Linked DNA regions of Tribolium castaneum. The protein of the gene in region 4 binds, or shares a complex with, the protein of the main gene of each other region. Links are inferred from orthologs where the notes say so. Each region holds a gene or a part of one and is shown on either strand. Other genes may lie near its edges.

Region 1 (4,316 bases), on a different chromosome or scaffold from region 4:
TTAAAAATCAATGTTGTTGATATATTTAAATCGTAGTATTTTTTTGTTAAAATCTAGTCTTAATAAATGTTTTTTGTGACACTTTGTTTTATTTTACGTCAAATTAAAATGGGTAAAAAATTGAGTCGTCCACGAGGTAGCGAACAAAGCACTTATTCCCATATTTTTTATACCGGGAGTATCGAAACTATTCCACCATCAATCACCTATCCTTCGATATGTACTTCCCCCTCGTTTCATTTGTCTGAAAAGCCTTCGGTGTCGAAGTGTGACAGTGAATTGATTCATTACGGCGAACTGCAGAGTATGTACATCAAGTCTCAGACTTTCACAGCTGATCATTTGGCCCCCTTGACCATCAGAACCTCACAGTTAGTGCTGTCGCTTCTGAAGAGGCATTTGGGGCAAATTGTTAGCGACATCCACGCAGGGTACTGTTTTATTTAATTTAATTTTTTTGCCTATTCAAAAAATTCATAACTCAAAAACTAAAATTCGTAGAACAAAACGGTTTATTCCAGTGAATTCAGCGACTCATTTTACGTATCATATGTTTTTTTTACAACACTAGCTTACTCCAGAACGTATTTAAACACTTATTTGAATTTGAAAAATGGTGGATGCGCCGGGTTATTTTCTATTTTTTGGCAGGACATTGAAAATGCCTGATAAAGTGGTAGAAAAGTTTGGGGCTGCAAGTGCCCGGAACCCGAATCAGCAAACAGACACATATACTATCCAAAGACGAATGATCACTCATTTCGTCTCGTTACTTCACGTTCATGAAATGGTTTTAACTTATCTCAAACAGAGACGCATCGAACAAGCGCTCGATTTAATCAAACAAATTGCAGTTAGCCACGCACTTAAGGGAATCACAGTGACTGAATTTCGGGTAAGTCCCGATAATTCTCTAACTTGTTTTGGCAAAATACGACTTGCAGTTAGTGGACTGGTTTATTGTCAATTATTTGATAAAAAATAAAGTAAGCACTGACGAGAACATAAACCACTTGATGCTTTACTTAAGCACCCTTTCAAATTACATTGTGCGATATTTCGAAAGTCAAAGTGTTCGCCATACGATGCTCCGGGACATGACTAGTGTGAAAGTAAACGATCGGAGCAACAAAGCAAGGGAAAACTACCGTTTAATGAAACAGTGGACCTCCAGAATTGAACATTCCAGAGGCCAAATTAAGGATCTAATTGACAAGCTCCTCGCAGATCAAGCCCGCATGCAGGAAGCCAGAGAGGCAGAAATTAGGAGCATTGACACTCAAACGCTCAAAGAAAAAGACTTCATTATGCGATTTTTCGTACGCAAGAAACCGACAGAATCGCGCTCAACGTCACACTCGCACCAGGAGAAGGCCTCAACGTGAGTATCACCCCAATATAACAAATTCAAAATACCCGCCCACAGGATTGACGGCGAAGTTAAATCCCTACCGTTACCGTTCTCGCTACCAACCCAAAACGAAAGTAACCCTAGTAACCGAACAGATTTCTAAATTACCGACCCGGCTAACCGCTCTCCTCAAACAAAATTCGAAAAAAATACGGTTTTTTTGAATGAAAAGGCGCAAAATTTCGTGTTATTTAACGCTTCCCGACCCGTATTAATGGACAATACCGCCAAAACTTTCGTAAGCAGCGATCAATTTTTGAGGTTAGGTCATAATAACTTGTAGGTTATTCCAAATGAGTTATGCCGACGTGCTGGAGTGGCGGCTTCGTGGCTTTCCGTCAACGAATTCGGTGTTTTCGGCCACCAGAAAACACCAAAAGTTGATAAACCGAGTCACTTTGCCCCCTCGGACGCCTCTGTGTTTCAGCTGCGCCCCGACATTATTCTCTTCAAACCAATTTTACGCAAATTGGTAAATGAGGCCAACGGGACGTTTCTAACCCTTCAAGCCCTTGTAGCCACTGAGGGCGACCACAAGGCCGAATTATTGAAACTTAGCCGGCAGTACAGGTCCATAATAAGGGCCTGTTTGGAGAATTTGCAAGACGAGGTGATGCGAGCCGATGGCGATTATCGCGAAGAATTGCAAAATTACATTACGATTTTTTACTCAGTTGAGTGTATTTGGCACTTGTGTGAAATCTTATTTGTTGATGCGGTCCCAGGTGGGTTAGTGACACGGATATCTAAAAGCTAGGATGCGAAACGACGTACAAATAAAACGTCCTGAACTCGGTAGTTTTATCGTTAACTATATTTAAAAAAAATTCCGGACTTTTTTAGGTTCAGAAAATCCGGTAATTTCGTACATCGTTTCCTCCTAAGTTATAGACCTCTGTAGTGACACAAAATTTGGGGATTTTTGCCAAACAGTTGGGGTTTTAGGCAACATTGTTTTGCCCCACTTACTGGACTGGATTCGGTTTCATTTTCCGAAATATGACCGAAATGCGGCAAGTATGTTGGCTGGGGATTTGGGTGGTTTGGAGTCACACCCTGACTATTGGGAAACTGTCATTGGGTCACTATTACAAGGGCGGGTCAAGGTCGTTAGGGCCCTACTTAAATTACACTCAGAAGCTGAGTCACAACCTTTCAGAATTGTGGATCAGTGTCTGAGAGCAATGCCGGTTTATAACGTAAGTAGGCTGGGAGAAATTGACAGGTGTTCATGGCCGACTTTAGATGTTTAGTGGGACTTCAATCGCTGAATTTAATCTACAATGGAATCATTGGGTCGTGGATGTTCAATCGAAAATTGATGCGAAAATGTTTATTTCTTGTTATAATCTCAATTTGATTATGAAGGTTTTGTTTTAAGTGTGTTTGAGTTGGTAGTTTTCTTTATAAGATTTTTTGTAGCTTACGGTTGGTAACGAAATTGCATGGGGGGAAATACAGCAGTATTGCGAGACGTGGTATGAAATGTTAGCCGCGTGGTTATTTTTTACCCAACCTACTGTTAAATCGTTTGAGTTGGGACAGTTTGCCAAACAGTGTATCACGAAAATGTCCATAGGGAATAGAATTAAGCATTTGGATAGGATGTTGTTGGCAGCAATGGAGTTTGATATTTTACAGGTAATATGGCGCCACCTCTGTTAAGTTATTAAATAAAACTGAGACTTTTGAATAATCCTGTATTTTTCGGCTATACTTTTAGTTTTACACTTTTTTGCAAATGTACACATAAATTCTAACATTTCTTTGCCAGGTGATTAAAGAAATCCAAAATATGACAGACAGTGGCTGGTTTGTGAGCCACTTAACCGACCTACTTTACCATTCAGGCCGTCTAAGCGACACAACTATCGAAACTATTGAAAATTTGTGAGTCCCCGATTTTTTTTAAACCGTTTATTTTACAATTATTATTTCAGCCACCCTGATAAATTGCGCGAGTCATTTTTAATCGATTATGGCTCGCTTTTAATGGGCCATAAGTCACTATGGCAGGTCGGTTTAAGCTACTTGGACCACTGTCCCAGCGATGGCCCTGAAGTCACAAAATTACTACTTGCAAGACTGCCTCTAAATTCCGAAATGCGGGCTGAGAAAATTGTGAGAGAGGCTCTGAACCGGAATTTAACCGAAACGGCACAAAGTATTTGTAAAGTGCAAGGAATGGCTTGTAAAAACCGGGGGCGTCTGGGACACGCCCTCGCCTGGGCCCTCAAATCACAAGACGGCACTTTTGTGTCGTTTTTATCGAACAAATTTCTGCGAGAGTATGCCGAAAGTGGCGATTTGAACAGTATTGATCTTTTGGATAATCTCGGATCGTGTATTTTGGCAAGCGATAGGTTGATGTTTTTAGGCAAATATTACGAATTCCAGAAGTTATATCAAGCGAACGAGTACAAAGAAGCCGCCAATTTGCTCGTTTCGTTACTTGAGTCGAAAATAATACCAAACTTGTAAGGGGAAAACACTTAAAATTGCGGTTTTTTATCTAAAGATTATCTTGTAGTTTCTGGAGTATTCTATTAACTGACGCAATACCGCTACTTGAGTGCGAAAAAATGGTTTTTTCCTCAACTGATACCTACATCATTATGCAGTGTTTGGAAGAGCAGGAAAAAACCAAAGACTTGAAAGACAAACTTCCGATCTTGAGACTGTCAGCGACCCGGAATTTAGCACGAGCTTTGGTACACGAAGCCCAATTAAAATGATGATTTTTTTAACAATTTTTTATTAAATAAATACTTTACGTAAACAATAATACTTTTAATTGGCCACTTTAAGTGCACTCGCCAAGTCCTCAAATTCCTCAATTTTCGTATCAGTGATTGTGTCAGGGTCACTGTAAGTCACTCTGGCCGCAAAAAATTTCTCTTTTAAC
Region 2 (3,213 bases), on a different chromosome or scaffold from region 4:
GGAAATGAAGATGTGAACACAAATTTGCTTTATATTAATTTTTGAATTTTTTTACATAAACGTCTTTTTTACAGTGAAGGCTATTCCAAATCAAAAAAAAAACTTTCGGATTTAAATTCAGCTAAAAAAATTACATCAGAATCATATTTCAGTAAACGTGTCAATTCTGTTAAATAGTTCTTTATTTTTGATTCTTTTTTAAGTTGTTAATAATTACGTTGCATTTCTCAAACTATCATAATCATTAATCACACAGACATTCAAGATATAGAATATTGCTTTTTTATATTGTTTTATTTTAAAATTATAAAATGTAGATATAGAAAAAATAACTTTTTATGGTACATAATAAGGCATACTAAAAGTATTTAAAGCAAATTTGGAATTCTGTGTAATTATTTAGCTTGTCATGCAGTAAAAATATACTTTTGCTGGGACACCCTGTAAAATTTGTTTTTAAATTTTATAGATGAACATAAAAACCTTTTATATGCTTTTGTACGGTCATCATTTAAAACATAACTTGTTTGTAATTTAAACGTCGTCTACCTACTTATACTTATAAGTTTTTTTTTGTAAAATATGGTTTTGTTTTTTAAGTAGCACTATACAAACAAATACTTTTAAGTTCGTAATGTGTAGCTTTAGTTTCTAATAAACAGTACTTAATTTTTTTGTTTCATAAGGAGCTAAAAGTAAACTACAATTAACGTTTAAATTGCTTATTATACTGATTTATGGGTCTGGCACGTGAAGCATTATTAAAGTTTAAAATAGCAAAGAAGTAAATAATTTCTTTCCATAAATTCCATTACTAGGCGCTTTAAATTCATTATTGTTGAAGTTATTACTTTCCTGTGTAATGGATTTTTAAATTATGATTTATCCTTGACTAGAATAATAAAACGTTTTCACGACTGTGTTTATAATTTCCTAAAAATTTTTTAATAAAATCAAGTTGGATAAGTTCCCGGTCAAGTTGCATCAAGCTGTTCCTCGGAGCGCCATCTCTGTGTGGGAAGAAAACATGCGGCTTGCGAACTGGTCTACGAACAGTTTTCGTTTTTATGGCATTTTACTTCCAGGATTTGCATTAATTTAATCCCTATTATTAGTACTATGGGACATATAACACGAATTAAGCTCAAATATCTTAAATTTTGTTAGGTCACAGAAATTATTATTGATTTTACTTGTATGAATCGCACCGCTCCCTATCGGCCATTTTATCACCATTGCAAAGACTTGTTTATTTTCAAGCTTATTCAAACATTTTTTCGTCAAACTCGTAAGACATAATGTTCTTTGCGTAACGGAAGCAACAAATATAACACTTGTGCCTAAATCACGTGAGTAACAGTTCAATTTCATTTATAAATGAAGCGGTTTCGGTTAACTGACGCCCCTAACCTTAGTTTTTCAGCAAAATGACTTTTATGTCCGTTGCTCATTACCTACAACTTGTGGAAAGGTATTGGCGGTCTCAGGACGGTGCAAAAGTGGCCAGTTTTCTGTCTCTTCGCCACGAACATGCAGGTTATGCCAATTACCACATTGAGAGTCCTGAGGGAATAGTTGAGCGTTTTTTGACCGCCCCTATCGACGAATTAGTGATTTTGCACCTAAAATGCCTGTTTGCCATAAGCCAGAGTGACTATCTATCGGCTTATAACATTCAGAGCAATTTGACGCAAACTTTCACTAAGATCTTGCAATCGCAAAAGGAGGAGAATTGGTCTTTGCCTATTATGTATGTCTTGTGCTTAGACTTGCGTCTTTTGGCGCAATTAGCCGAGAATCAGAGGAGCGGAATTAATGAGAAGCCCGGCGAAATGCTCGAGAAGGCAGCAGAATGCTTGATGGGTTGTTTCAGGGTGTGTGCTGCTGATAATAGGTCAGCAGAGGAGGATACAAAGAGGATAGGGATGTTGGCTTTGGTGAATCAATTGTTTAAGGTTTATTTTCGGATAAATAAGCTACATTTGTGCAAGCCCTTAATCAGAGCGATTGAGTCATCACCGTTTAAAGAGAGTTTTTCTCTGAGCCAACAAATCACATATCGGTATTTTGTGGGGCGCAAGGCTATGTTTGATAGCGATTATAAAGTCGCCGATGAGTATTTAACTTATGCTTTTGAAAATTGTCACAAGCTCAGTAAGAAGAACAAAACGCTTATATTGATTTACTTAGTTCCTGTGAAAATGTTGTTGGGGTATATCCCAAGCAAGGAGGTTCTGGAGAAGTATGACGTCATCCAGTTGTGGGATTTAGTACAAGCTGTATGTCAGGGTAATCTCAAAGCGTTTGACGAGATTATGGAAAAGCACGAAACCTTTTTCATCAAGTGTGGAATATATCTGATTGTTGATAAACTGAAAATCATAGCATATAGAAATTTGTTTAAAAAGGTGTATTTGATTCTAAATACGCATCAAATCCCTATTGAAGCACTGCAGACTGCTTTAGTGTATTTAGGACAGACTGATGTTGATTTGGATGAAACAGAATGTATTGTTGCTAATCTTATTTATGAAGGGAAAATTAAAGGATACATTTCGCATCAACATAGGAAGGTTGTTGTTAGTAAACAGAATCCATTTCCGCCACTTACAAGTCTATCATAATTAAGTTTTTATAAGTTTGTATAATTCGTCGTTCTCTACCTGCATTGTAACTATTTTGTAATTGCATATGAAATAAACTGTTAAAACTACCCGTTTTTTGTGTTTTATTAAAGCATAAACGTAACGTCTATAAATCTCTATACTGCGAAGTGACTAAGCGACCCTGCTGTCATAAGAAAAAAGCTAAATGTTGTATGCATAATAAAAACCGCATTAAAAATGTTTATGGAATTTTTATTTTATTAAAAATTGCTTTTGTTATTCGAAGAGGTCACAACTACAGTTGTTTTTTTTTAAATTGCTCAGATTTAATCTCGATACGAATCGTTTTGAAAATCAATAATGCATATTAAATCACCTAATGATTATGCCCATATAGGTAAAAAATATTCGTTTAAGCTTTACATAATAGATACGAAGTTAATACCGAATACATCCTTTAAATGTACTGTAAATATTATATTACATATTGCGAAATTTTGCACAAAAGGATTTATTTTCCCATAGGTAACTTTGTTACCCGAAAATTAAACTCATACATTTTATATGGAAATTTTATCATAGTCAAAAACTATTTAGTTTTTTATTA
Region 3 (4,314 bases), on a different chromosome or scaffold from region 4:
CCCATCGCTCGCAAGATGGCCAACTTTTTCCCTGGCAAAAAACGACGCTACGCAGAGAAAACCATCAAACATAAAACACGGAGAAATGAATCGATGAACCATTCGCCAAGTGCCACCAGTATGGATAAAAAGAGCGGAAATGCGAATCCCGCTTTCACTCAAGACGTACAAATGGAAGTGTACAGAACCAAATTATGATTTTTCTTTCTTCCTAGAGATGGATGTGAGAAATGGACACGGACTCGTGTTTTTAGTGCCTTTTATTTGGCAACATCTGTGATCTCTAGCTGATAAGATACAAGTGTTCGATTGTTGAATTATGCAAAGACTACTTAACTATTTTTATACCTTATTACATTGTTATTATTGAATAAGATTGTACAACTTGATACGCGTACGTGTTGAAATATTTATTTTCTTTTGTAAGCTTAGACTAGTGCTAACAACGAGTATTTATTACAACATTTTAGTACAATAATATTTAATTAATAATAAGCGTAGTGTTTGTTCAAAGAGTTTAAGCTACCAACGAAAATATAATATAAATAAAAAAAATTTTGTGGATTTTTGCCTCCTTTAAATGCCTACAACCGAAGTTATTGACAAAAAAAAACGCTCCAAGTACTGAAAAGTCGCCCAATATTTCCAGAATCTTAAGTCAATGAATTTCCGAAAATACAAATACATACCACTAATGTGCAGTAATCTAATTTTTGTTGAAAAGCGTACAATTTACCTCACTTTGTGCTTAAAATGTACTTTTCCTAACCACAAATGAATTGACAAATATTTGGAAAGTGATGTTTTTTACAAGTTTTCAAGAAAACTTGCTTTTTCACCAATTTCCAAAAATAATGCCCACAATAATGTGCAATAATCTAATATTTTGTTGAAAAACATGCAAGTTACCTTACTTTGTGCTTGAAACTTCCAAATTAACACTGAACTTCTAAACTAACACTTAACACTTCATTCTTCCAAATCCTGATTGTCACAGTAACTGAATTTAGGAATATCCGGGGAAAAACTGGTGTTTTTTTTCCACAATTTATAAAAAAAACGTAATTAAGGTAACTTTTTCACAAATTTTTCATAAATGTAGACAAAAAAGATCCGGGCACACACGAGAGACGCGATAATGGAAAAAGTGTTGCCAACCAAATTCACTGAATTTCCGAAAATAGTACCAATAATGTGCTATAATGTTAAATTTTGTTAAAAAAACATGCACCTTACCTTACTTTGTCACTGGAATCACCAAATTATGTAAAAATTACACTTAACACTAAGTAACATCATTTTTCCAAATTCAGTATTCACACATGATTTACAAATTTTTGAAAAAAACCGGTGTTTCCTACCACAATTTATAAATTGAACTTAATTAAGTTACGTAATTCAACACTTTTTTCACCAATTTTCCTTCAATTTGAACAAAAAACACGATAAACACAAACAGACGCGATAATTTGAAACAAATGACGATCGAGGAAAAGAAAAACTGTTACCAACCTGAATCTAGGGACTTTGCAACGCTCTGAGGCAACGCTAGACTTGTTTTTTGAGGTTATGCAACGGCTTTTTGTGTGTGTTTTTTATTAAAAATGGATAATGATTTGGAACGGTCGGTGCGTCTTCTCGAAGACGCTCTCCAGACCCCCACAAAAGGGCTATTTAAGGTCTCGACCGCAACTCCAAAGCGTGAAAAACCTAACCTCAGCTTTACAATAAACCCCGAAGACTTAACCGGCCTGGAATATGGAAGTGTTTATCAAAACACCTTGTCTTTATTTGTCGATGATGACAAAACGGTCACCGGGTCGGTGATCCAAGCAGGAACTCCATGGAAAAACACTGTTAATAATTTATATACAGAGTTTGCGGATATCCTGCAGGGGTCCACCGGAGGCCTTGATATCCTGGACGTGGCCGAAGACTTGGCGAGGTGTTGTAGTGACGCTTTGGCGGTGGTTAAGTCACTGAAAGCCAAAGTGGCCACTAGTGAATTAGCCGAAGAGAAATGGCTCGAAAATGAGCGGAATAATTGGAGACTGCTGTATGTCCTGTACCAGGATCGGATCCAGGCCCAGAACCACAGTAAGGAAGGGTTTGAGGAGGATTTCGGGAGCAGTGAAAAGAACTGTGTGTGCGAACTGTTCAAACGAGAGAATTTGGTTAGGGAAAGCCAGTTGGTGATCGATTGGCTCGAGAGGAACGCTCTGGAGAAGGGGGACCCCATTTTAATGCACTCAGACTGGACGTATGGATGGGAACACACTTTGCATCAATTGCTAGCACCTGATGCTATTGCAATTGGGAGTAATGTGGATATTATCAAGAACATACATCCAGATGCGCCACAGTTTCAGCGCTTATCGCTGCACCACTTGGATTACGACAATGACAAAAAACTATGTCAGAGAATTTTTATGGAAATTAGGTGCGGCAACCTTGAGGGCGCCCAGGAAGTTTGTGCTGTTTTCAGCCTTTTATTATTTATTCAATAATTAAATTTCAGTTATGTTACAACAGTGGTTATCCATGGCGCGCTGCGATGTTAGAAGGCTGGAAGCTTTTTCATAATCCCAACCTGGAAACAAGTCTTGAAGAGTATAAAGACGTAGAAGGGAACCAAAGGCGGGATTTGTGGAAATCTTGCGCATTAGATTATTGTCATAGGGTAAGTTTTTCGTTCCACAGCCTCTTTGACAGTTCGGGAACTTCGCTATCTTTTTTTTTGATACCATTGTTACTAGATAAACCGATGTCACTTTGGCAGTTGTAAAACATGTATTTATTTTATGTTTATTTATTTAAAATTTCTGGAAAATAATTAACCAAATTTAGGACTGAAGACGAAGTTTCGTATCTATCAAGGAGGCTGTTTTATAAATTTGAAAAAACTACTAAAAAATTTCAGTCAAACTTGAACATTTATGAAAAAGCCGCCATTGGTAGTCTTTGTGGTTTCTTGGAGGGCATTTTGCCCGTTTGTACCACATGGGAGGACCACCTGTGGGCCTACATGCGAACCATGGTCGATATTCGTGTTGAATCGGAAATTCGCGACTCAATCATTAAAAACTACATACCACTACCTGAAGAATATTGGGAACAAAAGAAATCATTAAGTGAAATTTTTACAATTTTGGAAGCCTCGAAAAATATTGACATTGCAAAAGAAGCGCATGAAATTGATCATGTAATTCAGAAACTTGTCATTTTAGACGAAATTCCCACACTGATACGCCTCCTAGATCAGTGGAGTGAAGATCTAAGTGTTACGACACAATCTCTTCGATTTTATGCTCACTTAGTTTTGTTTTTTGAAAGCGTCGGAGACTCCACTCATAGAAAAACGTGTGAAAAAATCGTCGAAACGTAAGTTTTCTTGGTTGTATAACTCGACTTAAGGCCGGGCGCTTTAGTCTCCCGGTATGGTGACTATAAAAAAATTTGTGTCTAGTGTATTTTATGTTCTTAATGTTGACCATAATCTCGTCAGAACTAAATTATTGCTTTTAATATTTTTACCACTTTTTTATAGCTACGGTATTATTTTTTGTTTTATTTGACTTCGAGCTTCTATAAAAAAACATAAAGTGTTTGCTACTCACCGCTGCGTTGCTTGTGTTTTAATATCATTTGTTTAATTAGATATATCGAGCGTTTGAGCGAAATGAACGAAACCCAGCTTGTGGCCTTCTACGTGAGCAAGCTGGGAAAATCCAAACAAATCCAACTTTACGCCAAACACTGCGAAAAACTGCTTTCGACTGAGCAACGCAAAAACGCCCTTACTTACGCTGAAGATTTCAGTTTGGACGTATTTGCTATAACGCAACAAATCGTCGAAATTATAACAAGCCGACCGTCTGAATCCGAACTTCCCGGTAATCTCCAAGGTAAAATCACCGAAATCGACGAACTCAAAATCTCCGCTATTGATTGGCTGATGTTTTACGAGGAGCAACGAGCCGAAGCATTGGCTCAAACCAATTCTATTATTTTCAAATTTCTGATTTTGGGCAAATTAGAAGCAGCCCAATTGGCAATCAATAAAATTCCTTACGATTCTATAGAGAAGATACGCAGCGAAGAGCAGATTCATCAGATTGTTAAGAATTATTTGAGTTATAAAGCGTATTTGGATGCACATGAGGCGTTTAACGAGTGGTTTAGACAGTATAGGAATAAGCCGATGCCACCACCTGAACTGCCCGAAAATGCACAATTTACTGAAAAAGTTGCTCATAATCATAAAGTCTCGCAGTTTAATGCCGAAGCGGAACGGTGGAAATTGACGACATCGCA
Region 4 (3,636 bases):
TCCAAGATTTGCGGACTTTTCTCCAAAAAAGAGAATATCCACATATTTCATTCGTGAAGCCTCAATTGGCCAGTTCCGTAATCCAAACTCCGCCAAAACAACTTAGTCGGCTTCCCGAAAAAACTTCAGTTGCACCTCGGGTTCTCGATTTTGCGCAGTCAACTCCCAAACCCACTGTGCTCAAATTCGACTCCACGGCAACTCCAATCGAAGGTTTACAAAATTTAGCCCTTAAATTCGAGGCTAAAAATTTCACAAATTTGCCCGAGAAAACTTTCACGCCTTTGACTAAAAACGTGATTGCTGGGTCTCCAAATTCGGCTTTTGTCTCAACTTCGGTTTCTGCATCAGCAAATACTTACAAACCCACCTTCATGGCTGCAACTACAGCCGTGACAGCGTCTATTATTAAAACAAGTCCCAGTTTTGTGGCAGTGACTAGTACTGCAACCATGCAAGCACCTAAATCGTTTGTTAATTTGTCTTCCCAACCAGTTACTAGCAGTACCCCAAAGGTGGGGACAAACCTCTTTGCCACATCTTTGCCTAAAACTACATTTTCGTTCAGTTTACAAACTACTAGTGCGGCGCCCATTTTAACAAGTAGTGCAGCGACTACCAAACCCAGTACGTCTATTTCTGTTTTTAATCTATCCACGAGTGTTAGTACTACCGCGGAAAGTACGATTTTTACGAAAACTTCTACTCCGTCATTTGGTATTGCTACCACCACAGCACCAACCTCCACCCAGTTTTCGTTCGGTGGCGCTACTAATACTTCAAGTATTTTCGGTGCAGCAACACAAAAAGTGACCGAAGCTGCGACATCGAAAACCTTTACGTTTTCTACAAAGCCAGTAGTTACTTCTGCAACAAGTACTCCAAATGTGGTGGTTTCTGCCGTTTCCCCCGTTGCTAGCAGTACCCAACGTTCAATTTTCCCTACGACTTCTGTAACAACCAGTCCTAAAACAACGCAAGCTGTCTCGAGTCCAGTCTCAATCCAACCCACTTTTGGTGTAACAGCTCCAAATTCAGTTAGTACTACCAGTGGCACTCCATCAACTCAGTCCTCACCGTTTTCATTGGGGGCACTTAAATCATCTATTTTTCCCTCACCGGCTGTTCCTGCCGTAACTACAACACCGAAAATCGCCACCAGTGCGGCCACTGTTGTTACTACAGCTGTTACAACTACCGGTGTTACAGCTCCTGTTGTTACAACAGTCCCATCTTCAACTAGTATTTTCTCAACGCCAGCAACAACTCCATCAATTTTCGCTTCGCCAGCAACAACTTCAACAATTTTCTCTTCGCCAGCAACAACGTCATCAATTTTCTCTTCGCCAGCAACAACTTCATCAATTTTCTCTTCGCCAGCGACAACTTCATCAATTTTCGGCTCTATTGTTAGTAGTACTACTCAGTCTCCAACCATATCTTCAGCTCCGCCCACAACTGGGTTTTTCGGTGGTGCTCTTTCAACTAAACCACTCTTTGGTGGTACCGAAGTTAGCGCCTCGAAACCGTCAATATTTAGCAGCACAACTGCATCAAGTGTTTTTGGGGCTGTTGCAACCACGGATTCAAACGTTTCGAAACCATCCATCTTCGGAGCCCTGCCATCATCCTCCACTACAGCTTCTGTCTTTGGTACTGTTGCAAGTACCGATAGTAATGTATCAAAGCCGTCAATTTTTGGCAATGTTTCGTCAAGTACTTCACCAGCGACTGTTTTTGGCGCTACCACACCTACCACTCAGATTTTTGGTGGTGCTACCCCTTTGTCTACTAGTTCATTTGGGGCTGCAGCTACGACACAATCGTCAATTTTCGGCTCTCCCACTACCCCAGTTTTTGGAACTCCTGTTGGTACCACTCAGTCGACTTTTGCCAGTCCTACAACGACAACTCAATCTCAAGGGTTCGGTCTTTTTGGAGACGCCGCCCAAAAGCCTTCCCTATTTAATGCAAAACCAAATGCGACTCAACCGTCAATATTCGGAAGCACACAGCCGTCGATATTTGGTGGTACCACAACTTCTTCAACGTTCGGCCAAAGCCAGCCCTTCGATGGGAGCAAAAATACAAGCGCTTTTGGTCAAGGTTCTGTTTTTGGTTCGTCAGGTAGTACGAACGTTTTCGGGGGTTCAGCACCCGCTTTTGGCCAAACGGGTGGTTCCGTCTTTGGAAATGCACCAACTACGAGCTCTGGGAGCATTTTTGGGGCAACGACTACAAGCGGAGGTACTTTCGGTACTAGTGGATCTTTATTCGGAGCACCTGCGTCCACTGCCCCCTCACTTTTTGGGGCACCTGCATCTACGACTCCCTCTATTTTCGGTTCGTCGAATGTCTTCGCCCCTGCCACTACTCAGTCCGGTACTTTCGGCACCAATACCAGTTCCGGAACGTTCGGTTTCGGAAGTCTCAATGTTTCAACGACTGCAAGTTCGGGTTTCGGTGCACCTGCGAACCCCTTCGGGGGCGATAAGAGCGTTTTCGGAGCCTCTCCAGTGTCGTCAAGTGGCTCAGTTTTCGGTTCCAGTGGTGGATCGCTCTTCAGTAACACGTCCCAGAGTTTTGGTACCGGTTTCGGGAACCAATCTTCCTTCGGCCAACAGTCGTCCTTCTTCGGGGGTAGCAGTTTCGGTCAGCAACCTGCGGGGCCCTTCAGTGGTGGGAGTGGAACTGTGGGACAAACCGGGTTTGGGGCAGGTCAGAGCTTCCAAAAACCGGGATTTGGGGCAGCTCCCGTTTTCGGGGGATCGCCCAGTTTCGGGAGTTCGCCTAGTTTTGGAGGAGCGCCGGCGTTTGGCAGCCCACCGGCTTTTGGGAATACTTCAAAGGTGTTTGGGTCCTCAAGCCCCGGGTTTGGGGCAGCTGCTAGTACCCAGAACACAGCTTTTGGTAATTTAGCCAATCAACCAACAGTAGGGTTTGGGAATTTGGCACAGCAAGCTGCCAACGCCCCAGCGCAGAGTGCGCCGTTCTCTGGGTAAGAATTTTTAAACTGATAAATGGCATAGTACATTTTTTTTTGTAGGAGCTCCTCATTCTCCAGTTGGCGTTAATGAAGGAAAATGTTTTACGTTAAATTTTGTAAGCTGAAACTAATAAATTTTTTTAAAATTAATTTTATTTTTCACTTAAAACACATAATTATTTCTGAAAATGTGTACACTATTGTCGCACCCTCCAGAGACCAGATACTTGTTATTGGACCAATCTACAGCTAGGACTTGCCCTTGGTGTCCCTCTAAATTATAAAGTGGGGCTTTAGGGCTTCTGGAATCCCACAATTTGACACCAGAATCGTATCCTCCCGACATAAAAAGGTGTTCATCGTATTTTGACCATTCAATTGAACTGACCCATAGCGTATGTGAGGTGAAAGTAGTCTTGACCACTGAACCCTCTGAAGACCTTGGGTCGTACAACCGAATATGTCTATCAGCTGAACATGCTAATAATGTGTTAGATAGGGAAGACCAAGAAGAATCCAAAAATGCCTTCTGGCCAACTATTTCATTCTTGATACCACACAACTCAGCATCCCAAAATTTAATCGTATGGTCCATTGACACAGTGCAAATTACATGGTTGTCAATCCAGGAAGTCGAAGTTATGGTTTCT

The links.
Region 1: Nup214 (region 4) and Nup75 share a complex: the UniProt entries of both Drosophila melanogaster proteins name them as parts of the nuclear pore complex. The link is inferred for Tribolium castaneum from reciprocal best matches to the Drosophila melanogaster genes Nup214 and Nup75.
Region 2: Nup214 (region 4) and PCID2 share a complex: the UniProt entries of both Drosophila melanogaster proteins name them as parts of the nuclear pore complex. The link is inferred for Tribolium castaneum from reciprocal best matches to the Drosophila melanogaster genes Nup214 and PCID2.
Region 3: Nup214 (region 4) and Nup107 share a complex: the UniProt entries of both Drosophila melanogaster proteins name them as parts of the nuclear pore complex. The link is inferred for Tribolium castaneum from reciprocal best matches to the Drosophila melanogaster genes Nup214 and Nup107.

What each region holds. Positions count from the first base shown.
Region 1 is NC_087399.1:876,564-880,879, forward strand, and holds Nup75 (nuclear pore complex protein Nup85), read left to right. Parts: upstream 1-1,516; 5' UTR 1,517-1,625; coding exon 1,626-1,649; exon of another isoform or gene 1,650-1,694; coding exon 1,695-2,136; exon of another isoform or gene 2,137-2,356; coding exon 2,357-2,610; exon of another isoform or gene 2,611-2,656; coding exon 2,657-2,779; exon of another isoform or gene 2,780-2,833; coding exon 2,834-3,052; exon of another isoform or gene 3,053-3,185; coding exon 3,186-3,301; exon of another isoform or gene 3,302-3,351; coding exon 3,352-3,888; exon of another isoform or gene 3,889-3,941; coding exon 3,942-4,146; 3' UTR 4,147-4,196; downstream 4,197-4,316. Other genes in the region: mRpS23 (small ribosomal subunit protein mS23), read left to right, coding at 1-36; uncharacterized protein LOC660898, read left to right, coding at 67-431, 652-895, 945-1,381, 1,427-1,514; oxidized purine nucleoside triphosphate hydrolase, read right to left, coding at 4,202-4,316. UniProt on the Drosophila melanogaster protein: Component of the nuclear pore complex (NPC) that seems to be required for NPC assembly and maintenance. Required for nuclear import of phosphorylated Mad via importin msk.
Region 2 is NC_087397.1:8,459,988-8,463,200, reverse strand, and holds PCID2 (PCI domain-containing protein 2), read left to right. Parts: upstream 1-1,194; 5' UTR 1,195-1,349; intron 1,350-1,415; 5' UTR 1,416-1,427; coding exon 1,428-2,624; 3' UTR 2,625-2,713; downstream 2,714-3,213. UniProt on the Drosophila melanogaster protein: Required for the export of nuclear mRNAs and involved in mRNA trafficking in the cytoplasm.
Region 3 is NC_087395.1:26,509,788-26,514,101, forward strand, and holds the start of Nup107 (nuclear pore complex protein Nup107), read left to right. Parts: upstream 1-1,514; 5' UTR 1,515-1,604; coding exon 1,605-2,468; intron 2,469-2,518; coding exon 2,519-2,680; intron 2,681-2,920; coding exon 2,921-3,381; intron 3,382-3,657; coding exon 3,658-4,314. Other genes in the region: sodium-coupled monocarboxylate transporter 1, read left to right, coding at 1-198. UniProt on the Drosophila melanogaster protein: Plays a role in nuclear pore complex (NPC) assembly and maintenance. Required for nuclear import of Mad. Mediates the association between the nuclear pore complex and a subset of active chromatin regions adjacent to lamin-associated domains.
Region 4 is NC_087398.1:6,201,336-6,204,971, reverse strand, and holds the end of Nup214 (nuclear pore complex protein Nup214), read left to right. Parts: coding exon 1-2,998; intron 2,999-3,046; coding exon 3,047-3,074; 3' UTR 3,075-3,136; downstream 3,137-3,636. Other genes in the region: ribosome biogenesis protein WDR12 homolog, read right to left, coding at 3,150-3,636. UniProt on the Drosophila melanogaster protein: Part of the nuclear pore complex. Serves as a docking site in the receptor-mediated import of substrates across the nuclear pore complex including emb, RanGAP and phosphorylated Mad. Protects mbo/Nup88 from proteasomal degradation at the nuclear pore.